Struthio camelus: one gene and its partners. Each later gene encodes a partner of the first gene's protein in a complex. Links are inferred from orthologs where the notes say so. Each region holds a gene or a part of one and is shown in the gene's direction. Other genes may lie near its edges.

Region 1 (7,246 bases):
TTAGACTCCATACTGTGCTTTAGAAAAAGTACTACTTTCACTTAAGATTGCACTGTGTTTGAGTTTTCCTTGTCCTGGTCTATTATTTAGTGTTGCTGTTGAGTTTCTTTGCTCCTCTTTATGGATTGTGAGTAAACAGTTCTCTGTATATCAAATGTTACTGAGAGTCTGGGAAATAGCAGTGCAGTTCTGCTGCCAAATATATTTTAATGAACTGAGGAAGGATTATGGGAACGTTAAGAGAACCTGGATTTTTCTTGTGGCAGAGCAAGACTATATCAGTTCTCTTTTCCTTTTGTTCTAGCCAAATCTAAGGCGAGCATGAAGCCATCGGATGGGAAAGCCACCTCCCCTACAAAGCAGGCCCTGAAACGTAGGGCAGCTGAGAGTCATCCCTCTGCTGTGGCAGCTGTGAAACCATTGAGCAGCACTGGTGGTGGTGACATGAAGGAGCCTCCAGCTAAAAAAGCAACTGTGGTAAGGACGCTAGCTGAGACAGTTGCTGGTCCCTAGTAAAATTTATGCTTCAGTTTTACCCTCCTCTTGGACAAAAGTTGGAAAAATGGAAAACGGGTGTTCTGTATGTCTTTTGTTCCCTCTTAGGTCCAGTAACGATCTGCAGGGTGGTTGTTGTACCTCTTTATTTTTTATTAGAGGCATGACAGTGTTTTCATAATACTCTAGTATGATTTCTATGTGGTGTTTTCCATTAATGCTGCGCTCTTAAAAAATACGAGGTCGTTGGAAAGCTTGAAGTTAATATCAACTTTTCTCAGGAAAGCCCTGGCTCTGGATTTTGGTTAAGGCTCAGCAATGCCAGAGGAGAAGCAGTGTGGAAGAAGCATCTGCTAAGAAATCATTTACTTGTGTGTCATAAACACTGTCTTGTTTCTTCCCAGGCTGTTGTTCCAGCCCTGCCAGAGGATAACTTGGTCACTATACCTGAAAGAGAAAAACCCAAAGACAGGTGACAACCAAAACTTGTTCTTTTTCTGGGTCACTGTGGCTTTCACTTGAAACATACGTTCTTTCACATGTGGAAAAATTAGAGTTTTGAGATGATTAATGCCAAAATCAAATGAAGAACTCTGCTAGGACAAATCATATGAATGCGTTTTCCAGCAGCGGGAAGGAGTTGTTATTTAGACGCTTCCCTTTAAAGTGCTGCCAGTTGATAGTGTCTTCTTGGGTTATCTGAAAACTTGAATGAAGATGAGATGAAGTTGGAGATGGGTCGGGATGGAGGAAGACCTCTTTCTTTGCAATGGCATTCTCTAGAACCAAACATACATCTGGGCAAAGACTGTTGGAAGAGGAGAGAGAGATGGTATATGAGGATCAACTTCCTGTATTTGGGAGCAAAGTCTGCAGAGCATGTCATGGGAAAAATAACTAAAATAGTAAACAGGTATTTGCAGAGGTTGACTCCTTGACCTCTTAACAGTCAAATTAGTAAATGTGGCACAGTGTCTCTGGCTACAAAAATTGAACCGTCTTTGCCAGATCTCCAGCTGTTCTGTTTTCACAGACGAATCCTCAAACTGAAAATGTATCTGCTAATATTAGTGTATGAGAACCTAAAGTAGCCCCAGCTTGATTGAATAATGATCCCTGTGTAAAGTGTAGGAGGGATTAGCTGCAGTTTTAAGAGCTAGTTGGCAGAAAATGCATCTCTAGTTAAGGAATATCACATACTGATTGTTCTCTTTCTTGTTCTCCCAAGTGCTGAACTGCATATTGTAAGCCAGGCAGATTCTGTGGCACAGTCAGAGGTCTCAAGCTCAACTTCTTCACAAGCAGTGGTAAAGACGCGCCGGTTAAGCTCCACAGGGGCTGGGAAAGCACCTTTATCTGTAGAAGATGACTTTGAGAAGCTTATTTGGGAAATCTCAGGAGGCAAACTAGAAGCAGAAATTGATCTGGACCCAGGGAAAGATGAGGATGACCTCCTTCTTGAACTTTCTGAGATGATTGACAGCTGAACTGCATATTCTTCTGTTTCAAAAAAAAAAAATTAAAACTGTATATTTTGTTGGATACCCTGAGATGATCCTTTTTCTAGCTGAGGCTTTGCAATGAGTCTTAAAGCACAGTTGAACTGGTAGAAATTGGCAATATCTGCACTCAGTTGTCCTAGATTTCCCTGCTGGTCAGAGTTCAAGTCCTGCGCATCCGTTCTGTTACTATTGGTGGCTACCTTCAATATTAAGAGGACAAAGCACTTCTTTATTTCAGACCAGAAAGATGCCCATCTGCAAGCTGTGGTGGTTGTGAATTGATCTACTGAGTCAGTGATGCTCTGAAGGCTTAAACTTAAAGCTTCTTTCCCTGCCTCCCCTGCCCTTGGCAAAACACAACGTTGGGTGTATTTCAAGGTTTTTGCATTCTGATTTCTTGGACAGTTGATGCTAAAGCTTGGAGTTACTATGTCAACTCTTGATTTCTATTTATGTATGCTATCATTTTGACTTTACTCTTTTAGGGCAAATTAATGAAAACGAAGGGGTGGGAGGGAGCAGAATGATTACTTCTTGCATTTTGGACCAAACATGCTGCCAAGGGTGGTGGTTGGAGTCAGTCCATCCAGCCTTACTTCTCCTCGATTATCAGGGATAACACAATGTCAGTGTGAAAAGCAGCAGCTATACAGTACAGCTAGAATACCCTCCCCCCCCCTTTCATTGTACTGTATCAAAGCTTGGGGGTTTTGGTGCTTTTTGCTGAAGTGAATAGGATTCTGGGTTGAGAAGTCAGGATTCCTCTTATAGTCTGCAGTAAATTGGTAAATGAAGAATTGGTTTAAGTGCCTCTTGGTTCCAGGAATCACTCCCCTGAGTTGCTGGCTCTTCTGCTGGGAAGTGACAGCTGCTAGGGCTAACATTAAAACACTGACTGTCAGCTTTATTTGAACTCCTGTTGGCCATGTGGCATCTGTCTGATCGGGTGGTCATTTGTGGCATTGAACCAACAGGAGGCCGGTGCCCAGACAAGCAATCTTGGTACTTGGTACTGCTGCAGGACTGACTGTGCTCTCCTTTTTAGGCATGTCCTGGGGCTCCCTTCCTTTCATCTCCCCTATACCCCCAACGCACCTTTGAGGCTTGAGCTCCATGTAGAAGTACGCATTGGAGTCGGGACGGGAGGTTACTGGCCATCTGAATGCGCAGTCTGAAATTGCGACCCTGCAGAAAATAGCTGAGACTGGGGTCTATTGTGTACCCTGCCACCAGTGATCATTTTCCCTAGCAGATATATTTTTTAATTATTTTCTTAAATTTCTGGAGAACTTTAGTCTCTTCCTGTTATGATTTGTGAAGCTGTAGGGGCCCTCAGGCGTTTGCTGCTGGCAGAGGAAAATCAGCTGTTTAGCTTATTGTAAATATTTTTCTCTTTGGAAGAAAACACTTGTGTGCTTTGATAATCCACTGTGATGTCTTAGTTCCTAGAGGAAAAGTTTGAACCAAAATTAGCAAAGCCCTTTCTGAAGAAACTGCTGTTCTAGTTCCAGAAGGGTCACCAAGTTGGAAACTTCCTACAAAGTGGGCAGGACAGCGCTGCCCTTTATCCTGCTGAAGGACTTTTTCATGATGCGACTTCTGCCAGCTCTGGCTGCTTGTGCACAGACAGAAGTGACTTTGAGGAGGAGAGAAGCACACGTGAGAGACCGTGGTGTGGAAGACTTCCCCCTTGCTTTTTCTCTCCTTGCTGTTGTTTAAGCAGAATATTCTCTTCTGTTGTCAGCCTTTGCCGCCTCTGAGCCGAGAGGCTCTGTCCCTGGAGACGGGATTTTGTGTATGCCATTGTTTCTGTAAATATTTTATTCTTTCATTTTATATTTGTATTCTATTTAAGGTATTGTATTAAATGTAGTCCAGCTCCTCCACGTTCACCATTAGTTGAACTGTTCTACGTGATGGCAGTTACAGGTGTTTTTAAATAAACCTGGCGTAGGAAAGCTGGTGACACGTGGTCTGTCTGCAGCAGCCGGAGGTGTTTGGGGGGGGGGGGGTCTGCCTGCACCCAGAGAGGTGAGAGGGGCCGAGCAGCAGGGGCTGAAGGGTGCTGGAGCCAACCCCTGCCCTGGGCTGGGGTGGGGGGACAGTCCCCTGCACCTCCCTGCTTTGCTAAGCCCCCCAGGGCTGGAGGGGGCCAGTTCCCCAGGCCCCCAAAGGTGGAGGCTAGGACCCTCCTCCCTCATTCCCTGAGGCCCCCTGGTCCTGGGCAGAGAGCTGGGCTGCCCCCCTGAGCTTCCCCCCTCGCCCCAGCCCTCTGGTTACCCTTTTGGCCCCGCACGGAGCAAGTCGAGCGGCGGTCCTCCCGCCGGTCCTAGAGCGGCCGGGCAGCGCGCCAAGTCCTCCCGCAGTCCCAGAGCGCCGCGCGCTCTCCCGGCGTGCCCAGCGGCTTCCGGCGGCGGCGGCGGCTGTGGCGGTGGCGGGAGCGCGTGCCTGGCGGCGGGCCCGGGCGGCGGCGGCGGCGGCGGAGGAGCAGCGGCCATGGCGTACCGCGGGCAGGGCCAGAAGGTGCAGAAGGTGATGGTGCAGCCCATCGTATCCTTCCGCCGGCGGAGAGAGCAGGGCCGCGGCGGCCTCCGCTCCCGGCCGTGGGGGGGTGACGGGGGGGGGGGCGGCGGGGAGGAGCGGGCCGGGCGGCGGGGACGGCGTGTCGTTGCCGGGCTCCGTGCCCCGTGCCGTGGTGCTGCCCTTAACGCTGCGCTCCAGAACCTCATCTTCCGCTACCTGCAAAACGTGAGTACCGGGGCCGGGGGGCGGGACGGGGTTTGGGGGGGTGGGGGGGGGCGAGAGGAGTCCCGGCCCTGGCGAGGGCCTGGAGCTGCTGCCGGGTACAGCAGCGGGTTTGGCTGGTGGAATTCCCCCTCCCCCTCCACACACACGTTTTTTAAAGCCGTTTTCTGGTAGCTGAAGAGCTCGCTATCTTTCGGGTACAGAACAGCAGGTTCCAAGTTGAGGATTTCCTTTACACGTTCACAGGTTACCTCCCTAGTGGGAGTTTGATCATCACGTCACACGAGCAGGGCCGTTCTTCTGTGTCTGTTTTAAAATACAGGCTCGTACATGTGCTTCCACGACTTTTCCAAATCGCTGAGAAAAACATCTTAAAAGATGTCTGAGGACGTGATTGAGACCATATTTGAGAGTTTGTCCTTTGAATGGATGTAGCCATAGAGCTGCGGTGGCTGGTGGTAGTAAGGATCCAGCTGAGCTCTCAGTTTACAGGAGAGAGGAACAAAATTGCTTGGGGTGTTTATGTTCGTATTTTGCTCTCTTCCCCCATCGTTTTGCAGAGGTCCAGGATCCAGGTCTGGCTCTATGAGCAAGTGAACATGCGGATAGAAGGATGCATCATTGTGAGTATCAGGAGGTACCCTTATTATTTCTTTTGTTAGTTTCTCCAGAGTCACAGATTCTATTTCTTCTCGTCAAGGGAAACTAGCACAGATTGAAAGAGCACTCCTTATGCCTCCAGTGAATGGTCTTAATTGTCTAGCCTGTGTCAGCATATTTATTGATAGTTCGTATCACTGTTGCTGAAGTTAAGAGTAGGAGACTGAGCTCGCTAACTGCTTTTGTTGTTGTTTTTTAGGGCTTTGATGAATATATGAACTTGGTTCTGGACGACGCAGAGGAGATTCACTCAAAAACGAAATCAAGGAAACAGCTCGGTATGTCTGTATAACCTAAGCGATGCATGATCTGAAACGTGGTTATTTGAGCCTTCCAAATGGCAGCGCTTTAAAATACACAACATGTGAAGAGTTTTGAGTTTGAAGTATAGTGGAAGGATACTGGCTAGATCTGTGTGCCTGCTCTTTGTTGATTTGGTGGTTTTGTTGGATATACAGGAGAATCTGTCAGTGCCTGAGACCTATTTTCAGCTTTTAAATGTGTGTAACAATGTAAGGTCTGTGCTGCATCTCTCTCTTTTTTCCTGCAGCCAGGGCTGGAGGAGTTCAGGCAAAACTCCTTTCAGCTTCATCTAAAACAGATATCTCTAAGAAATTTTTACACGTGCTGTGCCACCTCTGAGTCAAAGCAAGGAACCACCTAAGTGGTGGTATGTAGTATTTGCCATCTGCTGATGAAGATAAGCAACGGTCTGTGACAAGCGATGTGTTCAGGCTCTTACCGGGGGCATAGTGCTGCTGGGGCGCAGAGCACTAGAATGGAGATTGTGTCTGATACGCTGTAGTGTGAACTGTGCACGTGGGCCATGTGCTGCCAGGCTTGTAGTCCTGTGGTGTGGCCAGCAAGGAAGAGACTGTCTGTGACCGTAGTCTGAAAAAAAAACTCGTCAGTTATCATGTGGGCATCTTCTTGCAAACATCTTTCCCTTTGTGAAATGTTATTTGAAAATATGAGGTTATTCTCAGACCCTGGGATCTTTCTAATTCCCCCTTTCCTTTCTCTGTGTTGCAGGTCGGATCATGTTAAAAGGGGACAATATCACTCTTCTACAAAGTGTTTCTAACTAGAATTTGCTGTTCTTCCCTTAGAACAATAGTTACTGTGCTTCAGAGCGGATAAAGTGCTAGGTCATGGGAACATGAGCTGCTGGTAGATAGGAAGCTACGTGTAGCTGGGGTTGCATGCTGAGGTTAAAATGGTTTGTAGCTTTGTGGGAGTATTTTTTTTTAACTTCGATACCATAAAAGATGTATTTCACAAATAAACATTTTTCATGTTAACTGTAAACATAAATCTGCTTGTTTTCAGTCTCATGTCCTTCTATGAGTGGAGGAAGGGGAGAAATGTGTTTGGGGTTCTTTTCACCATGGGTCTATGCAGTTTCTGATAAGAGAAACAACTCTGTGTTCTGGAACATCAAATCTGCGTTATGTTGACAAGATAGACTTGTTCGGAAAGGATGCTGGAGCCACGTGCAGTCCTTGAGCTTGCGTGGTTCTAGTGAAGTTGTTATAGATTTTCCCCAAGAATACAAGAATATGCAGTTACAGCCCTCAGTGCCCGCTATGACAGCTTCCTGAGACATTTTCTAAACAAAACAACCAACACCTAATTTCTTGAGGAAAAAACACCTAATTTCCTGAGATTTTGTACAGGAGTGCTCCTTGTGCATCAGTCTTTACAAGTTTGTTAGCGGGTTGGCAAGGGAGTTGGGGCTGTAGTATAATAATCTGACATTTGCAAACTTTACTGTTCTTCATGCTTTCAAAGTAACTTTTATCTTCAGATGGAGTTAGTTTGGATAAAATCTTTATTTCTTGCTT
Region 2 (7,914 bases), on another chromosome or scaffold:
TGGGTGGGCACAATGGGATTGTCGAGGCCTGGATGGTCACCATGGGGATGTATGGCTCTGGGCATTGTGCTGGGTGGGCACGGTGGGGACGTAGAGCCCTGGACACCCACCATGGGGACATACGGCTCTGGGCACCATGCTGGGGGGGCACATTGGGGACATAGAGCCCTGGATGGCCACCATGGGGACATATGGCCTGGGGCACCATGCTGGGTGGGTACAGTGGGGATGTGGAGCCCTGGATGGCCACCATGGGGACATATGGCCACAGGCACTGTGCTGGATGGGCATGGTGGGGACAGAGAGTCCTGGATGGCCACCACAGAGATATATGGGCCTGGGTACTGTGCTGGGTGGACACCATGGAGACACAGAGCCCTGGATGGGCATCACAGGGCCATATGACCCTGGACACCATGCTGGGTGGGCACCATAGAGACATGTGGCCCTGGGCCACCTTGCTGGGTAGGCACCATGAAGACATCAAGCCTCACATGGGCACCTTGGGGTGGCCCAGTGTGGCGGTGCCCATCCCGGCACCCATGTGCTGTTTGCCACCAGGGCCAGACGTTCACGCGGACGAGCCGGGCGGTGGCACAGAAGCAGCGGGCTGGGCAACGGCGCTGGTGCCTGGTGCTGGTGGGGCTGGCTGTTGGCCTTGCCATCATCATCCTCATCGTGGTGCTGGCACTGTGGCTAGGTGGCACCCGCGCCACCCCCCCTGTGCCCCCCACCGTCACCCGCGCCGCCCCTGGTGGGGACTGAGCCCCCCGGCCTGCCCCCCCGCCAGTGCCTCTGGAGACCCTACAATAACTCGCAACCTGGGACCTGCTTCAGGGAGATTCTACAATAACAAGCCACCAGGATCTGCTTTGGGGGGACCCAGTAACAAACCATGGGGACCTACTTTGGGGAGGCCCTACAATAACAGCTCACCAGGACCCACTCCAGGGAGACCCTACAATAACAAGCCAGTGGGATCTGCTTCAAGGAGACCCTACAATAACAGCTCACCAGGACCCACTCCAGGGAGACCCTACAATAACAAGCCAGCAGAACCCACTCCAGGGAGACCCTACAATAACAAGCTACTGGGCCCACTTTGGGGAGACCCTGCAATAAAAAACCACTGGGTCCTGCTCCAAGAAGACCCTACAATGACAGACCAGCAGGACCCACTCTAGGAAGACCCTACAATAACAAAGCCCAAGCCTGCTTCGGGGAGACACTACCATACCAAGCCAGTGGGACCTGCTCCAAGGAGACCCTACAATAACAAGGCCCTAGAACCCACTCTAGAGAGAGCTGACAATAACCAGGCCCTGCTTTGGGGAGGCCCTACAATAACAAAGCACTGCAGGAAGGGGTGACCCTGACCTGGGGGCACTGCTTGGGCAGGGAGAAATCGCCCTCTGCCAGCTCCGCCTTGGGTGCCCCAATGGGGACGGTCAAGGACCCAGGCATCCGGCAGTGCGGTCCCCACCCTGGGAATGTCACCCATCTCCAGTCCCATCCCCCTGCCCAGGGTGGGGCATGGCAGGACCCCAGGGTGCTGCAGCCTGGTACCACTTCCCTGCACCCCAAGGTGGCCTGGCATCGCCCGGGTACAGGGCACAGCCTGGACCCCTCCTGGGGCACGGCATCCCTGGGCAAGTGTCACCCAGGAATCGCCCTGGCACCCTGTGGCATCGCCCAGGTGCCTGTGGCACAGCCTGGCACCCCCTGCCCAGGTGGGCACCGGAGCCAGGACCGTCTCCACTGTGAGTCTCTTTATAGCCGCTACCGTGATTAAAAAACCAAAACCACTACAGATCCCAGAGTCTGTCCCACTGCTGTAGGTGCCGCAGCCCCACACCTGGGAGGGGACCCCAGGGAAAGGATGGGGACACTGGGGACCCAATGGCCCTGGCCATGCCACTCCAGAGCCCTGGGAGGGGACAAGACGGGAGATGTCGGGTGACGTCCCTGGGGTGGATGGCAACGGGTGAGGCCACGCTGCAGACCCCTGGAGAGCGGCCCCGGTGCGGCCACGCCAGCACCCACGCATGCAGCACCTCGGCACCCACCAGCACGGCCCCGGGGTCCCTGCCAGGCTCCTGGTGCCCCCACCCCATGTCTCAGTATCCCCAGGGTCCCCAATGAGAGCCGCACGCCGGGGACTCGCAGCACCTTTATTGGCATCAAATGCCGACCGGCACCGGCTGACGCTGTCCCCTCCGGGCTGGCAGTGTCCCCCCTGCCGCTGGCACTGCTGGGTGGTGGGGCAGAGCCGGAGGAAGGTGTCCCCATCACCGGGTCCCACGGCGCTTGCTGAGCTCGTCCTGCACCCGCTGGCACAGGGCCCGGCGCAGGGCGGGCTCCAGCGGGCTCCGGGCGCACACCCGCTGCGTCACCTCCTCCGCGCTGTCCGCCTGTGGCGCCCCCACCCCCTGTCAGTGGCACCCGTGGGTGCCCGCCATCCCCCCAGGTTTCCTGCTGCCCCCCATGCTCTGGGGCACCCGCTGCACTTGCTGCGCACTCCACAGCACCTGTCTGCACCCAGGGGCACCCGCCACCCCCATAGCACCCATCTGGGTGCTGGGGCACTTGCCATCCCCCACAGCACCTGCCTGTACCCCAGAGTACCCCCCCCCCAAAGGCACCCACTGCCTCCCGGAGCACCTAAAACCCACTGTCCACCCCTTAAACCTAAAGGCACCCACCTACACCTGGGGCAACTAGCACCCACAGCAGCCCACAGCACCCACCTGCACCCAGCACCCACAGCCCCCCTGCGCCCCAGGGGCACTCACAGCATTGCCCAGGCAGGAGGGGACCCAGCTTCCCCCCAGCGCACCGTGGGACGCCCTTGAAACGCGGTAGCGCAGTGCTGTGGTTAGAGGTGGGGGTACCCGGACGCCTGGGTCCCTGGGGTGCCCACCTGGTGCACGATCACAGCAGTGACGCTCCCGTCGTCCCCCTCGTACTCGAGGCAGAAGAGCCGGGGCCCGCGGGCGTCCGCGGCGGTGGCACCCGCGCTGCTCTCGGCTGGGCTCCGCTCTGCCCCCGCTGCTGGCACCCAGCACCCTGAGCGGTGTCGCGGGGGCACTGGGTGCTCCGAGTATCCTTCATGCCCCAGCCCACCCTAGGGTGCCCCCAGGCACCAGCCCCCCCCCCCAGCCCTCCTTTGGGTGCCCCTCACTCCCCAACCTACCCTAGGGTGCTCCCCATGCCCTAGCACACCTTGGGTGCCCCCCACATCCTGGGACACCCCAGGGTGCCCCTCATGTCCTGGCTCACCCCAGGGCACCCTTTGTGACCCAAACCTCTTCTGGGTGCCCCCCAAGACCCCATCCCTCCCTTAGGTGTCCCCCATCCCCATCCCTCCCTTGGGTGCTCCCTGTACCATGGCCCACCCCAGGGTGCCCCCCATGCCCCACTGCATCCCAGGGTACCCCCTATGCCCTAGCCCACCTTAGGGTGCCCCCCCATGTCTTAGCCTCCCCCTTGGGTGCCCCCACGCCCCAGCCCACCCCGGGGTGCCCCCCCATCCCCATCCCTCCCCTGAGTGCTCCCTGTACCATGGCCCACCCCAGGGTGCCCCCCATGCCCCACTGCATCCCAGGGTGCCCCCCCATCCCCATCCCTCCCCTTCGGGTGCCCACCATGCCCTGGCCCACCCCGGGGTGCCCCCCCACGTCTCAGCCCCCTCCCTCGGCTGCTCCCCTCCCCAGCGTCCCCCCCCCGCCCCCCCTCCCACCGCCGGGGCTCACCGGGGCCGCGGGGCCGGTAGACCTGCTGGTCGGGTCGGCGGGGCCGCGGTGGGGCCGGTGTGTGGCGCTTCCGTGCCCGCCCCCGGGCCTGCCGCACCGCCCGCTCGTAGGCGTCCCTGCACCGGCACCGGCACCGGTACCGGCACCGACCCGCTCAGCGCTGCCGCCCCCGGCACCGGCACCGCGCCGCCGGCAAAGGGGGCCCGGGGGAGGTGAGCGGGAGGAGACGGGGGGTCGGGAGGACATGGGGGACCCGGGGGGGGGGTGTCCCGGTGATGCACTGGGCTCCGGTGGGGGGAGGAGGGGGGCGTCCCGGGGGGATCCCGGAGATGTTTTGGGGTCCCGGGGGGGGGAGACAGGGGCGCTGGAGGGGCAGGAGGGGTCCCGGGGCTCCACTGGGGTCCCGGGGGTGCCTTGGGGTCCCGGGGGGGGGCTTTGGGGCGTCATGGGGCCCTGAGGGGGCCCCGGTGAGGTCCGGGGGGCGGGCGGGGGGCCGCGAGGCGGCCCCGGTGCCGGTACCTGGCGATCTGGTTGCGGCGGATGTGGCGCACGAAGCCGTGGCTCATGTCGAGCCGCCCGCCCGGCCGGCAACGCCAGCCCGCGCCCGCCTCCATCGGCCGCCGCTCCCGGGACCGGCCCGCCGCCGCCGCCGCCCCCTGCAGCCTACCCCCCGCGGGCACCGGCGGTGGCGGGGAGCGGCCGGGACTGTCCCCGGAGCCGGACCCCCGAGGGTGCACGGCGCTGCACACCGCACCCGGTTGGAAAAGGGACGCTGTCTCTTTAAAAGCCCCGCCGGCCGCACCGGCGCCGGTGGGCATGCGCCGCAGCGCCGCCAGCGGGCGGGAGCCGGCGCACTGCGCAAGCGCTAAGGAGGTTCCCCGCCTCCCCCCCCTCCCCGGCTCCGGGCGGATCCCCCGCTCATGCGCGCTAGCGGGGGTGCGGCCGCTACCCTTCCGGATTGGAGCGGCGCATGCGTAGTGCCTGAAACGGCGGTGAAGATAGGGGGCGGTGGAGCGCACGGTCCGTGCTCTTGCGCACGCGCAGTTCTCACTCACGGCTCGGTGCCCCCGCGCCGGCCTGGGGAGGCGCCTGCGCAGTGCCGCCGCCGCGCCTGCGCAGTGCCGCCGCCGCCGCGCCTGCGCAGTGGGCGGCGGGATGTCGAGCCGCGGCAAGCGGGAGCGGGAGCGGGAGGCGCGGGCGGCGCCGCGGGGCTCGGGCGGCGGCGGCGGTTCGTCGTCGTCGTCGTCGCGGGGCTCGTCGCGGAGCCGCCGCGAGGGCGAGGCGGAGCGGTCGCGGGGGCGGCGGGAGGCGGAGCGGGGGCGGGACCGGGACCGGGACCGGGATCGGGATCGGGACCGCGACCGGGACCGGCGGGAGGTGGCAGAGCCCCTCCCCCTCCCGGTGGACCCCGCGCGCATCAAGCGCGAGCCCGGCACCGGCACGGGCGGCGGCACCGGCGGCCCCGGCACCGGCACGGGCGGCGGCAGCGGCGGCCCGGTGCGCATCAAGCGCGAGCGCGAGCCCGACGGTGACTCCGAGCCTGAGCCCGAGCCCACAGGTGGGCACCGGGGGCACCGGGCCTGGGCGGAACCGGGGTGCTGCCGGGGTGGTGCTGGGGGAGGTCTGGGGGTGCACGGGGTGGGGGGGCCGGGGGCTGATGTGGGGGGTGCACGGGGGAAACCGGGGGCTGACGTGGGGGTGCACAGAGGGGACGACCGAGGGTGATGCTGAGTGACCCGAGGGACCGATCTGGGGGTGCGCAGGGGGGTCCTGCTGGGGCCGAGGGTTGTTTTATGTCACTCTGAGGGGGACAGGGGTGTTTTTGGTGTCCCTGCATGGGGACACCACCTGGGGAGGAGGCTGGACGATCCTGGAGGAGCGGGGCTACGCGGGAGGAAGGCCGTGAACGGCGGGGGGCCTGGTACTAATGGGGCTGCGTGCTCCCCGCTACAGTGCGCTATGGCCGCTTCGACCCCGAGGACCAGCGAAGCCGGCACTGCCCCTACCTCGACACCATCAACAAGTGAGCGGGGAGGATCCGTGGGCCAGCCACGGGCACTGGGAGGGCAAGCGGAGCGGCGACCCCAGGGCATGGCTCCCTTGGGGGCTGCCCCATACGCCGCGGCTTTCTCCTTTTCCTGCTTTAGGAGCGTCCTGGATTTCGATTTTGAGAAGCTCTGCTCCATCTCGCTGTCGCACATCAACGTCTACGCCTGCCTCGTGTGTGGGAAGTACTTCCAGGGTGAGTTCTCGCCTCAGGGGCTGGGGTCACTGAGGGGCTCATGCTGGTGGGAGGCTGCCTGGGGTCCGTTGGCATGAGGGGGAGGCAGCCCACGAGTCAGACTGGGAGTTGTTTCTCACCTGTCCCCGCGCGCTTGAGGTTCCTTGAGCGATTCCCTTTGCGGCTTGGGGCCAAACATGCATTTATCCATCCCTCTCTGCTCTGGAGCTTGTGGGATCCCACACTCCCCGTGGCCTCGCTGGCTCCTTCACAGTTGAGGTTTGAGCCCTCGGACGCCTGGGCTGCATGGTCTTGCGTTCCCTTGTTCGCGGCCTGTGTCCCTGATGCTTTCCTCTGCCTCGGCAGGCCGAGGGCTGAAGTCTCACGCCTACATCCACAGCGTGCAGTTCAGCCACCATGTTTTCCTCAACCTGCACACCCTCAAGTTTTACTGCCTCCCTGACAACTACGAGATCATCGACTCCTCGCTGGAGGACATCACGGTGCGGGGACCTTCACAGCGAGGGGCTGGGGGACTGGGGAGGGCTGCTGTGACCCTGCAAGTGGTTTGCTCCTCTGAGCTGCACTGAAACCTGAGGATTTAGGTTCATGTCCCTTGGGCTGTCAGGCTTTGCAAGGCCCAGTGGTGGTGGGGAGCTCTGCACCGAGGTGTCTGAGAGTCTCTGCTCGGTTCCTGCTCGCGTGAAAGGCAGCAGGGTTGTGTGAAAGGGATGAAAGTTTCTTAAGTCTTTGCGATAGAGGGGTTCTGGTAGAACACATGGAAGAGGCAGGAGGGTGGCAAGATCTCCGTCCTGGGAGGGTTTCAGAGCACGGTGCCGCTGGGAACTGCAGCAGTGCCTGCGAGGGGGGCCGGTTGGCTTTGGCTTCCTGGCCTGACGCTGTTTCCCCTCTTCTCTCTCAGTACGTGCTGAAACCCACCTTCACCAAGCAGCAGATCACCAACCTGGACAAACAGGCCAAGCTGTCGCGGGCATACGATGGCACCACGTACCTCCCGGGCATCGTGGGGCTCAACAACATCAAGGCCAACGACTACGCCAACGCTGTGCTCCAGGTACGGGCGCGCGAGGGCCTTTGAGCTCGCCCTGGGGGGAGGTGGAGGAAACCCACTTCCCCCTGGGGCTAGCGGGGAGTGCGTCCCAGCTGATCACCGCCTGTGCGCGCGCAGGCCCTCTCCAACGTCCCGCCACTGAGGAATTACTTCTTGGAGGAAGACAACTACAAAAACATCAAGCGCCCGCCCGGGGACATCATGTTCCTGCTGGTGCAGCGCTTTGGGGAGCTCATGCGGAAGCTGTGGAACCCGCGCAACTTCAAGGCGCACGTCTCCCCCCACGAGATGCTGCAGGCAGTGGTGCTCTGCAGCAAAAAAAACTTCCAGATCACCAAGCAGGGTGAGACAGGCGCCTTGTGCCAACAGGCAGCACTTTCCCTGTGCCAGAGGTGGCCGAGGAGGGTTAGACCCCTCTACGGTGCTGGGTGGAGGACAAGGCTCCTTTGTGCTCTTGCTAGGGGTTCACTGCTGATTTATCATCTGGCTTGCAGGTGATGGAGTCGACTTTCTCTCTTGGTTTCTGAATGCCCTGCACTCAGCCCTGGGCGGCACGAAGAAGAAGAAGAAGAGTGAGTGGAGGATGCTGTGGGATGAAGGCTGCTTTCACGCAGCTGGTTTTAACCTTGGGGCAGCCCCAGCCACCCTGATGTCCCCCTGTGATGCTTATCACCTCTCTTGCTCGATCCTTGCCTGAGAGCGGCCGCGTGGGGGAGCAAAGAGCTGGCTGACAACTTTGCAGCTTGCAGTTGGGTGCGAGGTCTGAGCCTTGTAGGGTGTTGCTGGCTAAAAGAAGATTTTAGCCTCTCTCCTAGCCCTGCGTTGCCCTGTGTGAACACCAGCGCTGAGCCACCTAGACGGTTTTGCAC
Region 3 (7,009 bases), on another chromosome or scaffold:
GCACACGGCTGCACACGGCTGCACTGCGCACACCTGCACACGGCTGCACACACCTGCGCTGCGCACACCTGCACACGGCTGCACACGGCTGCACTGCGCACATCTGCACACGCCTGCACACGGCTGCACACAGCTGCACACGCCTGCACACGCCTGCACACGCCTGCACACGCACGCAGACCGCAGCCCCGGGCCCCCTCCCTTGCCTGTGTCCCGTGTCCCCGTGTCCCGTGTCGACTCCCCGTCTGGGTCGATCCCGTGTCCCCATCCCATGTCCCGTGTCCCCGTGTCCCGTGTTGTCCCCCCGTGTCCCCTGTCTGGGTCCATCCCTGTCCCCATCCCCATCCTATCCCCATCTCCCTCCCATCCCGTGTCCCGTGTCCCCATGTCCGGGGTCCCCCCATCTGTCCCCCCGCCCACGTCCCCGTCCCATCCTTGTCCGTCCCCCGTCCACATCCCCATCCCATCCTGTCCCCGTCCCCGTCCCCCTCCATCCCCATCCCATCCTGTCCCCGTCCCACATCCCCATCCCATCCTGTCCCCCTCCGTCCCTGTCTGTCCCATCCCATCCTGTCCCCGTCCCCGTCCCCCTCCATCCCCATCCCATCCCGCGGGTCCCCATCCCCGTCCCCCTCCGTCCCCGTCCCCGTCCCCATCCCCATCCCTGTCCCCGTCCCCCTCCATCCCCGTCCCCGTCCCCCTCTGTCCCCATCCCCGTCCCCATCCCGTGGGTCCCCGTCCCCGTCCCATCCCGTCCCGCGGGTCCCCGTCCCCCTCCGTCCCCATCCCCGTCCCCGTCCCCCTCCATCCCTGTCCCCATCCCCGTCCCCCTCCGTCCCCGTCCCGCGGGTCCCCGTCCCCGTCCCCGTCCCCCTCCGTCCCGCTCACCGCAGGGTCCCGCCGGTGCCGCGGCGCCCCGGAGCCGCCCTTAAATCGCGGTGGCGGCGCGGGGCCGGGCCGTGTCGTCACGGGGCCGTGGGGCCGGTTCGCCCGGTCCGGCCCGGCCGTGGGCGTGCGGGTGCGACACCGACACGGGACACGGGGACACGGGACACGGGACATGGGGACACGGGACACGAGACACGGGGACACGGGGACACGGGGACACGGGACACGGGGACACGGGACATGGGACACGAGACATGGGGACATGGGGACACGGGACATGGGACACAGGACATGGGGACACGGGGACACGGGATACGGGACACGGGACATGGGACACGAGACATGGGGACATGGGGACACGGGACATGGGACACAGGACATGGGGACACGGGGACACGGGGACACGGGACACGGGGACACGGGACATGGGACACGGGACATGGGGACACGGGACACGAGACACGGGGACACGGGGACACGGGGACACGGGACACGGGGACACGGGACACGGGACATGGGGACACGGGACACGAGACACGGGGACACGGGGACACGGGGACACGGGACACGGGGACACGGGACACGGGACACGGGACACGGGGACACGGGACACGGGGACACGGGACATGGGGACACGGGACACGGAGACACGGGACACGGGACACGGGGACACGGGACATGGGGACACGGGACACGGGGACACGGGACACGGAGACACGGGACACGGGGACACGGGACACGGGGACACGGGACACGGGGACACGGGACATGGGGACATGGGGACACGGGGACATGGGACACGAGACACGGGACATGGGACACGGGGACATGGGGACACGGGACACGAGACATGGGGACATGGGGACACGGGACATGGGACACGGGACATGGGACACGGGACATGGGGACACGGGGACACGGGGACACGGGACACGGGGACACGGGACACGGGACACGGGGACACGGGACACGAGACACGGGGACACGGGGACACGGGGACACGGGACACGGGGACACGGGACACGGGACATGGGGACACGGGACACGAGACACGGGGACACGGGGACACGGGGACACGGGACACGGGGACACGGGACACGGGACACGAGACACGGGACACGGGACACGGGGACACGGGACACGGGGACACGGGACATGGGGACACGGGACACGGAGACACGGGACACGGGGACACGGGACATGGGGACATGGGGACACGGGGACATGGGACACGAGACACGGGACATGGGACACGGGGACATGGGGACACGGGACACGAGACATGGGGACATGGGGACACGGGACATGGGACACGGGACATGGGACACGGGACATGGGACACGAGACATGGGGACATGGGGACACGGGACATGGGGACACGGGACACGGGACACGAGACACGGGACATGGGACACGGGGACACGGGGACACGGGACACGAGACATGGGGACATGGGGACACGGGACATGGGACACGGGACATGGGACACGGGACATGGGACACGAGACATGGGGACATGGGGACACGGGACATGGGGACACGGGACACGGGACACGAGACACGGGACATGGGACACGGGGACACGGGGACACGGGACACGAGACATGGGGACATGGGGACACGGGACATGGGACACGGGACATGGGACACGGGACACGGGACATGGGACACGGGACATGGGACACGGGACATGGGGACACGGGGACACGGGGACACGGCACACGGGGACACGAGACACGGGGACACGGGACACGGGGACACAGCACACGGCACATGGGACATGGCACACGGGGACATGGGACATGGGACACGGGACACGGGATACGGGGACACGGGGGTGTGGGGATGGGGGACACGGGACACACGGGACATGGGGGACAGGGGGGTGTGGGGACGGGGGGACATGAACATGGGGACGGGGGGACGGGGACGGGGGACATGGGAGGGGGCAGAGGGACGTGGGGCCCCATCTGGGGTGGGACTCGGTCCCAGAGCGCTGATCCATCCCCGTCCCCCGTGTCCCCACACCGTGTCCCCCGGGTCCTCGAGACCCCCGTGTCCCCCGTGTCCCTGTGACCCCCGTGTCCCTGTGACCCCCGTGTCCCCGTGACCCCCGTGTCCCCACCCCACGTCCCCCAGGTCCCCGTGACCCCCGTGTCCCTGTGACCCCCGTGTCCCCGTGACCCCCGTGTCCCCCATGTCCCTGTGACCCCCGTGTCCCCGTGACCCCCGTGTCCCCCATGTCCCCGTGACCCCCGTGTCCCCGTGACCCCCGTGTCCCCACCCCACGTCCCCCAGGTCCCCGTGTCCCCCGAGTCCCCGTGACCCCTGTGTCCCCCAAGTCCCCGTGTCCCCCATGTCCCTGTGACCCCCATGTCCCCGTGACCCCCGTGTCCCCACCCCACGTCCCCCGTGTCCCTGTGTCCCCCGTGTCCCCGTGACCCCCGTGTCCCCACCCCACGTCCCCCAGGTCCCCGTGACCCCCATGTCCCTGTGACCCCCATGTCCCTGTGACCCCCGTGTCCCCACCCCACGTCCCCCAGGTCCCCGTGACCCCCGTGTCCCTGTGACCCCCGTGTCCCCGTGACCCCCGTGTCCCCACCCCACGTCCCCCAGGTCCCCGTGACCCCCATGTCCCTGTGACCCCCGTGTCCCCACCCCACGTCCCCCATGTCCCTGTGACCCCCGTGTCCCTGTGACCCCCGTGTCCCTGTGACCCCCGTGTCCCCACCCCACGTCCCCCAGGTCCCCGTGACCCCCATGTCCCCGTGACCCCCATGTCCCCGTGACCCCCGTGTCCCCACCCCACGTCCCCCAGGTCCCCGTGTCCCCCGTGTCCCCGTGACCCCCGTGTCCCCACCCCACGTCCCCTGTGTCCCGCGTGTCCCCCTCCCGCGCCCGGTCGCTCGCGGCGGCCCCGCCCGGGCGGCGATGGGCGGGGGCGGGGGCGCGGCCGGACGCCGGGGCCCCTCCGACGCCTGGGCCCGCGGGCGGCGGCCTGGCCGGGTGCCGCGGGCGCCCCCGGGGGCGGGGCCAGACCAGCGATTCCGTTCGGGGGCGGGGCCAGGGCGGCGGGTCCGCCCCCGGGGGCGGGGCCAGACCAGCGATTCCGTTCGGGGGCGGGGCCAGGCCGGCGGGTCCGCCCCCGGGGCGGGGCCAGGGCGGCGATTCCGTTCGGGGGCGGGGCCAGGGCGGCGGGCTCCGCCCCTGGGGGCGGGGCCAGACCAGCGATTCCGTTCGGGGGCGGGGCCAGGCCGGCGGGTCCGCCCCCGGGGCGGGGCCAGACCAGCGATTCCGTTCGGGGGCGGGGCCAGGACGGCGGGTCCGCCCCCGGGGGCGGGGCCAGGGCGGCTGCTCCGCGCGCGGCGGAAGGGGGCGGGGCCTCGCCGGTTCCCTGGCGCGTGGGGCAGCGGCGGCCGCGATGGTCGGCGGGGCCGGGGGGCTCGTGGGGGGGCCCGGGGGGCTCGAGGGGGGGCCGGGAGCGCCGGGGGGGCCCGGGGGGGCGGGGCGGAGCGGGCCGCGGGGCCGGGGGCGGCGGCGGGCAGCAGCGGCCCCGCGCGACCCCCGTGTCCGTGTCCCCGCAGCTTTTCTACTCCTTCTTCAAGTCCCTCGTGGGCAAAGACGTCGTGGTGGAGCTCAAGAACGACCTCAGGTGAGGACCCCCCCCCACGGGGCCCAGGCGTCCGGCCTCCCACCCCCACGGGGACCCCGGCGTCCGGGACCCCCGCCACGGGGCCCAGGCGTCCGGGACCCACCCCCACGGGGGCCCAGGCGTCCGGCCTCCCACCCCCACGGGGACTCCGGCGTCCGGGACCCCCCCCACGGGGCCCAGGCGTCCGGGACCCACCCCCACGGGGGCTCCGGCGTCCGGCCTCCCACCCCCACGGGGACTCCGGCGTCCGGGACCCCCCCCACGGGGCACAGGCGTCCGGGACCCACCCCCACGGGGGTCCAGGCGTCCGGCCTCCCACCCCCACGGGGACTCCGGCGTCCGGGACCCCCCCCACGGGGCCCAGGCGTCCGGGAACCCCCCCACGGGGTCCAGACGTCCGGCCTCCCCCCCCCACGGGGACCCCGGCGTCCGGGACCCCCGCCACGGGGCCCAGGCGTCCGGCCTCCCCCCCCCACGGGGCCCAGGCGTCCGGCCTCCCCCCCCCACGGGGACCCCGGCGTCCGGGACCCCCGCCACGGGGCCCAGGCGTCCGGGACCCACCCCCACGGGGGCCCAGGCGTCCGGCCTCCCACCCCCACGGGGACTCCGGCATCCGGCCTCCCACCCCCACGGGGACTCCGGCGTCCGGGACCCCCCCCACGGGGCCCAGGCGTCTGGGAACCCCCCCACGGGGTCCAGACGTCCGGGAACCCCCCCCCACGGGGCCCAGGCGTCCGGCCTCCCACCCCTACAGGGCCCAGGCGTCCAGCCTCCCCCCCCCACGGGGACTCGGGCGTCCGGGACCCCCCCCACGGGGCCCAGGCGTCCGGGACCCCCCCCCCACGGGGCCCAGGCGTCCGGGACCCCCCCCCCACGGGGCCCAGGCGTCCGGGTAACTCTCTCTCCCCCCAGCATCTGCGGGACGCTGCACTCCGTGGACCAGGTGAGTGGGGCCAGGGGCCACGGGGGGGGAAGGGGGCTGCGGGGGTCCCGGGGGGGGGCTGGATCCCTCGGTGGGACGGGACCGGGGGGGCAGGTTGGGCCCACGGGGGTCTGTGGGGTGGAGGGGATCGTCGGGGGCAGGACCCTCGGGGTTCCCAGGCCGTGACCCCCCCGCGTCCCCGCAGTACCTGAACATCAAACTGACGGACATCAGCGTCACCGACCCCGAGAAGTACCCGCACATGGTAAGGCCCGGACGCCTGGGTCCCCCGGACGCCTGGGTCCCCCCCGGGCCCCAGACCCTCCGATGCCGGGGTCCCCCGGACGCCTGGGTCCCCCCCGGGCCGGCCGCGGTGCCCCAGGCCCTCCGATGCCGGGGTCCCCCGGACGCCTGGGTCCCCCCCGGGCCCCAGGCCCTCCGATGCCGGGGTCCCCCGGACGCCTGGGTCCCCCCCGGGCCGGCCGCGGTGCCCCAGGCCCTCCGATGCCGGGGTCTCCCGGACACCTGGGTCCCCCGGACACCTGGGCCCAACCACCCTGGACGCCTGGGTCCCCCCCGGGCCGGCCGCGGTGCCCCAGGCCCTCCGATGCCGGGGTCCCCCGGGGCCCCGCTGACGCCCGGACGCCTGGGTCCCCCGCAGCTGTCGGTGAAGAACTGCTTCATCCGGGGCTCGGTCGTGCGCTACGTGCAGCTCCCGGCCGACGAGGTCGACACGCAGCTGCTCCAGGACGCCGCCCGCAAGGAGGCCCTGCAGCAGAAGCAGTGAGCCCGGACGCCGGGGCCCCCCGGACGCCGGGGCCCCGTCACCCCCTCCCCGGCCCGGATGCCGGGGCCCCCACTCCGCTGCCCCCCGTTTCTCTACCTCACCCCGACGCCCTCCCCGAGACCCCCCTGCTCGCCCGGACGCCGGGGTTCACCGCTGCGCCCCAGCCCCGCGGGGGCCGGGGGGGTGAGCCCCGGCGTCCGGGCGGCGGCGGGGCGCAATAAACGCTGGTGACGGGCACCCGGACCTGGCTGTGTCGTGGCTGCGTCCCCGGACGCCGGGGTCCCTCGGGGGGGGGTTGGGGGGTCCCGGATGCCGGGGTCCCTGGTGGGAGGTTGGGGGGTCCCGGATGCCGGGGTCCCGGGTGGGGAGTTGGGGGGCCCTGGACTCCTGGGTGGGGGGAGGGTAACGTTCCCCGGACGCCTGGGTCCCTGGAAGGCGTTGGGGGGGGGGTCTCGGACGCCTGGGTCCCGGGTGGGGGGGGATTGGGGGTCCCCGGAGGACCCGGCTGTTCGCCCGCCGCCAGGGGTCGCCGGACGCGCTCCGTAACCCGCGGTGGCCGCTCTGCCCCGCCGAGCCGCACGGCTCTATGATCCGGGAGCCCGCCCCGCCCCCCTCCTCCCCCCCCCCCCCCGCACACACAGCGCTGACTGAGCCTGCGCAGCGGCAGCAGCCAATCCGGGAGCAGCCCGGGGCGCGGGGCGGGACGGGCGCATGCGCGGGGCGGGGGCAGGCGCTGGCGGCGCATGCGCGGTGCGCGCGG
Region 4 (7,424 bases), on another chromosome or scaffold:
CGTCCCCATCTTGTCCCTGTCCCCATCCCTGTCCCCATCCCTGTCCCGTCCCCGTCCCCGTCCCCGTCCCCATCTTGTCCCCGTCCCCGTCCCCGTCCCCATCCCCATCTTGTCCCCGTCCCCATCCCCGTCCCCGTCCCCGTCCCCATCCCCGTCCCCGTCCCCATCTTGTCCCTGTCCCCATCCCTGTCCCCATCCCTGTCCCGTCCCCGTCCCCATCTTGTCCCCGTCCCCATCTTGTCCCCGTCCCCGTCCCCGTCCCCGTCCCCATCTTGTCCCCGTCCCCATCCCTGTCCCATCCCCGTCCCCGTCCCGTCCCCGTCCCCGTCCCCGTGCGGGTCCCTGTGCAAGGGGACCTGGCCCGTCCCCGTCCCCATCTTGTCCCCATCCCCGTCCCTGTCCCCGTCCCCATCCCCGTCCCCATCCCCATCTTGTCCCCGTCCCCGTCCCTGTCCCCATCCCTGTCCCATCCCCGTCCCCATGCGGGTCCCCAACTTGTCCCCATCCCCGTCCCCATCCCCGTCCCCATCTTGTCCCCGTCCCCATCCCCGTCCCCGTCCCTGTCCCCATCTTGTCCCCATCCCCGTCCTGTCCCCATCCCCATCCCCGTCCCCGTCCCCGTCCCTGTCCCGTCCCCGTCCCCATCCCCGTCCCGTCCCTGTCCCCGTCCCGTCCCCGTGCGAGGGAGGCCCGGGGCGCCCGTACCTCCATGGCGCTCGCACGGCTCCTCGCCCGCCTCCGCCGGCCCCTCGCCCGGCCCCCCCGGCCCCCCCGGCCCCCCCCTCCTCCTCCTCCTCCTCCTCCTCCGCCGCCGGGACGGGACGGGACGGGACGGGGGGGCACCGGCGCTGGCACGCGGCCGGGGGACGTGGGGCGGCCGAGGGGACGTGCGAGGGGACGTGCAAGGAGATTTGGGGCGTGCGAGGGGACGTGGGGCGTGCGAGGGGACGTGCAAGGAGATGTGGGGCGTGCGAGGGGACGTGGGGCGTGCGAGGGGACGTGCAAGGAGATTTGGGGCGTGCGAGGGGACGTGGGGCGTGCGAGGGGACGTGCAAGGAGATTTGGGGCGTGCGAGGGGACGTGGGGCGTGCGAGGGGACGTGCAAGGAGATTTGGGGCGTGCGAGGGGACATGGGGACGTGTGAGGGGACGTGCAAGGAGATTTGGGGCGTGCGAGGGGACAGGGGACGTGCAAGGGGACAGGGGACGTGTGAGGGGACGTGCAAGGAGATTTGGGGTGTGCGAGGGGACAGGGGACGTGCAAGGGGACAGGGAACGTGTGAGGGGACGTGCAAGGAGATTTGGGGCGTGCGAGGGGACATTTGGGGCATGCGAGGGGACGTGCAAGGGGATGTGGGGTGTGCAAGGGGACAGGTGGCGTGCAAGGGGACGTGCAAGGAGATTTGGGGTGTGCAAGGGGACAGGTGGCGTGCAAGGGGACGTGCAAGGAGATTTGGGGTGTGCAAGGGGACAGGTGGTGTGCAAGGGGACGTGCAAGGGGATTTGGGGCGTGCGAGGGGACAGGGGACGTGCGAGGGGACAAGGGATGTGCGAGGGGACGTGCAAGGGGACGCGGGGCCTGCAAAGAGCCGTGCGAGGGGATAAGGACGTGCGAGGGGACGTGCAAGGAGATTTGGGGCGTGCGAGGGGACACAGGTCGTGCGAGGGGCTGTGGGGCGTGCGAGGGGACACAAGTCGTGCGAGGGGCCGTGCGAGGGGCCGTGGGGCGTGCGAGGGGACACAAGTCGTGCGAGGGGCCGTGCGAGGCGTTGGCCCCGGGCGCGAGCGTGCGAGGGGAAGGGGGGGGAGCGCACGCGCGCGTGCGAGGGGCCGCCGGCTCCGTGCGAGAGAGACACCCCCCCGGCCTGGCACGGACGCCGCTCGGCGCCGCCACAACAACGCGGGGGCGGTGGAGGGGGGGGGGGCGGAGGCGCCGTCTGAGGGCTGCCCGGACGCCTGGGCCCCTTGGCCGGGGGGGGGTGGGGGGAGCCTGGCCGGATGCCGCCGGGCCGGGTTAACCCCCACTTCGCCGTCCGCCTTCGTTAGCTGGTGCCGTTAACGAGGGCGGGGACGGCCTGGGGGGGAAACGGCCTTAACTCTGCCCTTTTGGGGGCAAAAACAGCCTTAACTCGGCCCTTTTGGGGGAAAAACGGCCTTAACTCGGCCCTTTTGGGGGAAAAACGGCCTTAACTCGGCCCTTTTGGGGGCAAAAACGGCCTTAACTCGGCCCTTTTGGGGGGAAAACGGCCTTAACTCGGCCCTTTTTGGGGCAAAAACGGCCTTAACTCGGCCCTTTTGGGGGGAAAACGGCCTTAACTCGGCCCTTTTTGGGGCAAAAACGGCCTTAACTCGGCCCTTTTGGGGGGAAAACGGCCTTAACTCGGCCCTTTTTGGGGCAAAAACGGCCTTAACTCGGCCCTTTTGGGGCAAAAACGGCCTTAACTCGGCCCTTTTGGGGGAAAAACGGCCTTAACTCGGCCCTTTTTGGGGCAAAAACGGCCTTAACTCGGCCCTTTTGGGGGAAAAACGGCCTTAACTCGGCCCTTTTGGGGCAAAAATGGCCTTAACTCGGCCCTTTTGGGGGGAAAACGGCCTTAACTCGGCCCTTTCCTGGGGCAAAAACGGCCTTAACTCGGCCCTTTTGGGGGGAAAACGGCCTTAACTCGGCCCTCTTGGGGGGAAAACGGCCTTAACTCGGCCCTCTTGGGGGCAAAAACGGCCTTAACTCGGCCCTTTTGGGGCAAAAACGGCCTTAACTCGGCCCTTTTGGGGGAAAAATGGCCTTAACTCGGCCCTTTTTTGGGGGAAAAACGGCCTTAACTCGGCCCTTTTTTGGGGGAAAAACGGCCTTAACTCGGCCCTTTTGGGGGGAAAACGGCCTTAACTCGGCCCTTTTGGGGGGAAAACGGCCTTAACTCGGCCCTTTCCTGGGGCAAAAATGGCCTTAACTTGGCCCTTTTGGGGGCAAAAATGGCTTTAACTCGGCCCCTTTTTGGGGCAATAAACATCTTAACTTTGCCCTTTTGGGGGCAAAAAACCCCACCTTAACTCGGCCCTTTTAGGGGCAAAAAAACCACCTTAACTCGGCCCCTTTGGAGGTAAAACCAGCCTTAATTCAGTCCTTTGTTGGGGCAAAAAACACCTTTACTCTGCCCTTTTGGGGGGCAAAACTCGCCTTAACTCTGCCCTTTCCTGGGGCATAATCGGCCTTAACTCGGCCTTTTTAGGGGCAAAAGGCAGCCTTAACTCTGCCTTTTTGGGGGTAAAAACAGCCTTAACTCGGCCCTTTTTTGGGGAGGCAAAAATAGCCTTAACTCTGCCCTTTTTGGGGCAAAAATGGCCTTAACTCGGCCCTTTTGGGGGCAAAAATGGCCTTAACTCAGCCCTTTTTAGGGGCAAAACTGGACTTACATCTACCCTTTCCTCAGGCAAAAATAGCCTTAACTCGGCCCTTTTTGGGGCAAAAACGGCCTTAACTCGGCCCTTTTTTGGGGCAATAAACATCCTAACTTTTCCCTTTTAGGGACAAAAAACCCCACCTTAACTCGGCCCTTTTGGGGGCAAAATCAGCCTTAACTCGGCCCTTTCCTGGGGCAAAACCGGACTTAACTCGGCCGATTTTGGGGGGGGGGGCAAAAACAGCCTTAACTCGGCCCTTTTGGGGGCAAAAAAGGCCCTAAATTGGCCCTTTCCTGGGGCAAAAAATAGGCTTAAATCTGCCCTTGGGGGGGGGGGCAAAACCGGCCTTAACTCGGTCCTTTTGGGGATAAAAACGGCTTTAACGGTCCATCGCCGGCGGGGACGCCTGGGCCCCCCGTTGGGGGGGGGGAGGGGGCTGGGGCCGGCTCGGGGACCCGGACGCCTGGGCCCCCTGGGGGAGAAGCGCTTCTGATTGGCTGGACGAAGCGCCCAGACGCTGGCGAGCGGCCAGCGCTGGGCCCACGTAACGCTGATTGGCTGGGCGCCCGGGAGGGGCGGTGCTGATTGGCTGGCGGCGGGCGCGGCCGGCGCTGATTGGTTGGCGGCGGAGCGAGGACATGGGCGATGCCCATTGGCCGGCGCTCGGCGGCCTCTTCCGCACCTGCGCGGAAGGAGGACGGGGCGCCCCCCCTCCTCCACGGGGAAGGTGGAGGCCACAAGATGGCGGGCGCCGCGAGGCACGCCGGGAGTTGTAGTCCCGCCCCGCCTCCCGCCGCTGGCAGCCGGGCGCCGCGCGGACTCCCGCTCCCGGCGTGCCCCGCGCGCAGGCGGCCAGCCGCCGCCACAAGATGGCGGCGCCGGCGCGCGGGGGCCGCCGGGAGTTGTAGTCCGGCGCCTCGTAACCCACCAATGGGCTCCGCGGGGAGGCGGAACTTCATTTCCCGGCGGGCCGTGCGCGCGCCGAAGTGACGTCAGCGGCGGGGCGGAGGAGGGGGGGGGGGAAGGGAAGAGAAGGGGCCGGAAGGGGAGGCCGCGCGGGTAGGCGGGGGCGCGTGGCGTCGCCTCGCGTCTCTTCGTCCGGGTCTCGCAGCCGCGGCAGCCTCGAGCGCGGGGGAGGGTCCCCGCGCGGCGCGAGCGGAGCCGCCGGCTGGTGAGACGGCGGGGAGGGGGCGAAGGGGAAAGGGAAGCAGATAACGCGGGGACGCGAGCGCGGGTGGGAGTGGGGGGGGCGGGCGCGCGCGTACGTGCGCGTGCGCCGCGGGCGACCGTTGGCCCCGGGGAGGGGGAGGGGCGGGCGCGCGGCGCGGCCGTTGGCCCGCGTGGGGGGGGGTGGGGGAGGGGCGCGGCAAGGGCCGTTCAGGAGCGGCCGTTAGGGGCGGGGGGGGCGTTTTGAGGGGGAAAACAAGGTTTTCATCGAGTTTGGGGTGCGGTTGTGAGGGAAAAGTGGGTGCGTGGAGGGGGATGGGGGAAGTTGTGAGGGGAAATGGGGTGCGGGAGGAGGTTTTTGGGGGGGAAAGTTTTTTTCAAGGAGCTTGGGGGGCAGTTGTGAGGGGAAAGTGGGTGCGTGGAGGGATTTTGGGGGGAAACAAGGTTTTCCTGGGGTTTGGGGTGCGGTTGTGAGGGAAAAGTGTGTGGGTGGAGGGAGATGGCGGAAGTTGTGAGGGGAAATGGGGTGCGGGAGAGGGTTTGGGGGGGGAAAAGTTTTTTGAAGGAGTTTGGGAGGCGGTAGTGAGGGGAAAGTGGGTGCGTGGAGGGATTTGGGGAGAGTTTTAGGGGAAAACAAAGTTTTCCTGGGGTTTGGGGTGCGGTTGTGAGGGAAAAGTGTTTAGGTGGAGGGTTTTGGGGGTAGTTTTAAGGGGAAAAAATTTTTTTCAGAGGTGCTTGGGTGCAGTTGTGAGGGAAAAGTGGGTGCGTGGAGAAGTTGGGGAGAGTTTTGGGGGAAAACAAGGTTTTCAAAGAGGTTTGGGGTGCAGTTGTGAGGAGAAAGTGGGAGCATAGAGGGTTTTGGGGGGCATTTTGAGGGGAAAAAGTTTTTCAGAGGGCTTTGGGGTGCGGCGGCGAGGTGAAAGTAGGTGTGTAGAGGATTTTGGGGAGAGTTTTAAGAGAAAACAAAGTTTTCAGAGGTGCTTGGGGTGCAGTTGTGAGGGGAAAGCAGGTGTGTGGAGAGATTTGGGGTGAGTTTTGAGGGAAAGCAAGGTTTTCAGAGCAATTTGGGATGCAGTTGTGAGGGGAAAGGGGGTGTGTGGAGGAGTTTGGGGGGAATTTTGGGGGAAAACAAGGTTTTCAAAGGGGTTTAGGGTGCAGTTGTGAAGGGAAAAGTGGGTGCGTGGAGAAGTTGAGAGTTTTGAGGGGAAAAAAGTGGTTTGAGGGCTTGGGGTGCAATTGTGACAGGAAAGTAGGGGTGTAGAGGATTTTGGGGAGAGTTTTAAGAGAAAACAAAGTTTTCAGAGGTGCTTGGGGTGCAGTTGTGAGGGGAAAGCGGGTGTGTGGAGGGATTTGGGGGGAGTTTTGAGGGAAAGCAAGGTTTTCCTGCAGTTTGGGGTGCAGTTGTGAGGGGAAAGCGGGTGTGTGGAGGAGTGAGGGAGAGTTTGGAGAGGAAGAAAGTGGTTTGAGGGCTTGGGGTGCAGTTGTGAGGGGAAAGTAAGGGTGTAGAGGGATTTGGGGTGAGTTTTGAGGGAAAACAAGGTTTTCATTGGGGTTTGGGGTGCAGTTGTGAGGGGAAAGTGGGAGCATAGAGAGTTTTGGGGGGAGTTTTGGGGAAAATTTTTCAGAGGGGTTTGGGGTGCGGTTGTGAGGGAAAAGTAATGGTGTAAAGGGATTTGGGGGGAGTTTTAGGGGAAAACAAGGTTTTCATTGGGGTTTGGGGTGCAGTTGTGAGGGGAAAGTGGGAGCATAGAGAGTTTTGGGGGGAGTTTTGGGGAAAATTTTTCAGAGGGGTTTGGGGTGCGGTTGTGAGGGAAAAGTAATGGTGTAAAGGGATTTGGGGGGAGTTTTAGGGGAAAACAAAGTTTTCATCAGGTTTGGGGTGCAGTTGTGAGGGGAAAAGTGGGTGCGTGGAGGGTTTTGGGGGGAGTTTTGGGGAAAATTTTTCAGAGGGGTTTGGGGTGCGGTTGTGAGGGAAAATTGTGTGGGTGGAGGGTTTTGGGAATTTTGGGGGAAAGCAAGGTTTTCAGAGCAATTTGGGGTGCAGTTGTGAGGGAAAAGTAGGTGTGTGGAGAAATTTGGGGAGAGTTTTGAGAGGAAAAAAGGTGGTTTGAGGGTTTGGGGTGCAGTTGTGAGGAGAAAGTGGGTGCGTGGAGGGTTTTGGGGGCGTTTTGAGGGAAAAAAGTTTTTCTAAGGGATTTGGGGTGCAGTTGTGAGGGGAAAGTGGGAGTGTGGAGGGGATGCGGGAGGAGTTTTAGGGGGAAAAAGCTTTTCAGAGTTTTTGGGGTGCAATTGTGAGGGGAAAATGGAGGATTTTGGGGGGGAAACGATTTTTCAGAGTGGTTTGGGGTGCGGTTACAAGGGGAAAAGTAGATGCGTGGAGAAGTTGGTGAGAATTTTGAGGGGAAAACAAGGTTTTCATCGGGTTTGGAGTGTAATTTTGAGGGAAAAGTGTGTGTGTGTAGGGGTTTAGGGGGAAAACGAAGTTTCCAGAGAGGTTTGGAGTGTAATTGTAAGGGAAGGTTGGACGCATGGGGGTGTTGGATAATTTTGAGGGGAAAAAATGTAGTTTGAGGGGTTTGGGGTGCAGTTGTGAGGAAAAAGTGGGTGTGCAGAGGCGTTTGGGGGGAGTTTTGGGGGAAAAAAGCTTTTTCAGAGTGGTTTGGGGTGCAGTTGTGAGGGAAAAATGGGTGTGTGGAGGGGTTTGGGGGCAGTTGAGAGGGGAACGGGGGAGTTTTGGGGGGAAAACCAAAATTTTCAGAGGGGTTTGGGGTGCAGTTGTGAGGGAAAAGTAGGTGCGTGGAGAAATTTGGGGGGAGTTTGGGGGGAAAAAAGCTTTTCAGAGGAGTTTTTGGGGTGCAG

Evidence for each region.
Region 2: SNRPE (region 1) and USP39 share a complex: the UniProt entries of both Homo sapiens proteins name them as parts of the U4/U6-U5 tri-snRNP complex. The link is inferred for Struthio camelus from reciprocal best matches to the Homo sapiens genes SNRPE and USP39.
Region 3: SNRPE (region 1) and LSM2 share a complex: the UniProt entries of both Homo sapiens proteins name them as parts of the U4/U6-U5 tri-snRNP complex. The link is inferred for Struthio camelus from reciprocal best matches to the Homo sapiens genes SNRPE and LSM2.
Region 4: SNRPE (region 1) and SRRM2 share a complex: the UniProt entries of both Homo sapiens proteins name them as parts of the minor spliceosome. The link is inferred for Struthio camelus from reciprocal best matches to the Homo sapiens genes SNRPE and SRRM2.

Annotation. Positions count from the first base shown.
Region 1 is NC_090965.1:6,662,322-6,669,567, forward strand, and holds SNRPE (small nuclear ribonucleoprotein E), read left to right. Parts: upstream 1-4,373; 5' UTR 4,374-4,493; coding exon 4,494-4,547; intron 4,548-4,718; coding exon 4,719-4,745; intron 4,746-5,302; coding exon 5,303-5,365; intron 5,366-5,601; coding exon 5,602-5,680; intron 5,681-6,434; coding exon 6,435-6,490; 3' UTR 6,491-6,716; downstream 6,717-7,246. Other genes in the region: ZC3H11A (zinc finger CCCH domain-containing protein 11A), read left to right, coding at 305-477, 900-967, 1,724-1,982. UniProt on the Homo sapiens protein: Plays a role in pre-mRNA splicing as a core component of the spliceosomal U1, U2, U4 and U5 small nuclear ribonucleoproteins (snRNPs), the building blocks of the spliceosome.
Region 2 is NC_090968.1:1,819,776-1,827,689, forward strand, and holds the start of USP39 (ubiquitin carboxyl-terminal hydrolase 39), read left to right. Parts: upstream 1-4,891; 5' UTR 4,892-4,907; coding exon 4,908-5,310; intron 5,311-5,705; coding exon 5,706-5,775; intron 5,776-5,899; coding exon 5,900-5,994; intron 5,995-6,339; coding exon 6,340-6,476; intron 6,477-6,895; coding exon 6,896-7,048; intron 7,049-7,162; coding exon 7,163-7,388; intron 7,389-7,539; coding exon 7,540-7,617; intron 7,618-7,914. Other genes in the region: VAMP5 (vesicle-associated membrane protein 5), read left to right, coding at 562-765; C27H2orf68 (UPF0561 protein C2orf68 homolog), read right to left, coding at 2,289-2,411, 2,921-3,066, 3,753-3,868, 4,272-4,570.
Region 3 is NW_027182645.1:5,173-12,181, forward strand, and holds LSM2 (U6 snRNA-associated Sm-like protein LSm2), read left to right. Parts: upstream 1-4,239; 5' UTR 4,240-4,309; coding exon 4,310-4,312; intron 4,313-4,472; coding exon 4,473-4,540; intron 4,541-5,452; coding exon 5,453-5,483; intron 5,484-5,667; coding exon 5,668-5,727; intron 5,728-6,123; coding exon 6,124-6,249; 3' UTR 6,250-6,491; downstream 6,492-7,009. UniProt on the Homo sapiens protein: Plays a role in pre-mRNA splicing as component of the U4/U6-U5 tri-snRNP complex that is involved in spliceosome assembly, and as component of the precatalytic spliceosome (spliceosome B complex).
Region 4 is NC_090973.1:761,989-769,412, forward strand, and holds the start of SRRM2 (serine/arginine repetitive matrix protein 2), read left to right. Parts: upstream 1-4,381; 5' UTR 4,382-4,569; intron 4,570-7,424. Other genes in the region: MFAP4 (microfibril-associated glycoprotein 4), read right to left, coding at 706-711. UniProt on the Homo sapiens protein: Required for pre-mRNA splicing as component of the spliceosome. As a component of the minor spliceosome, involved in the splicing of U12-type introns in pre-mRNAs.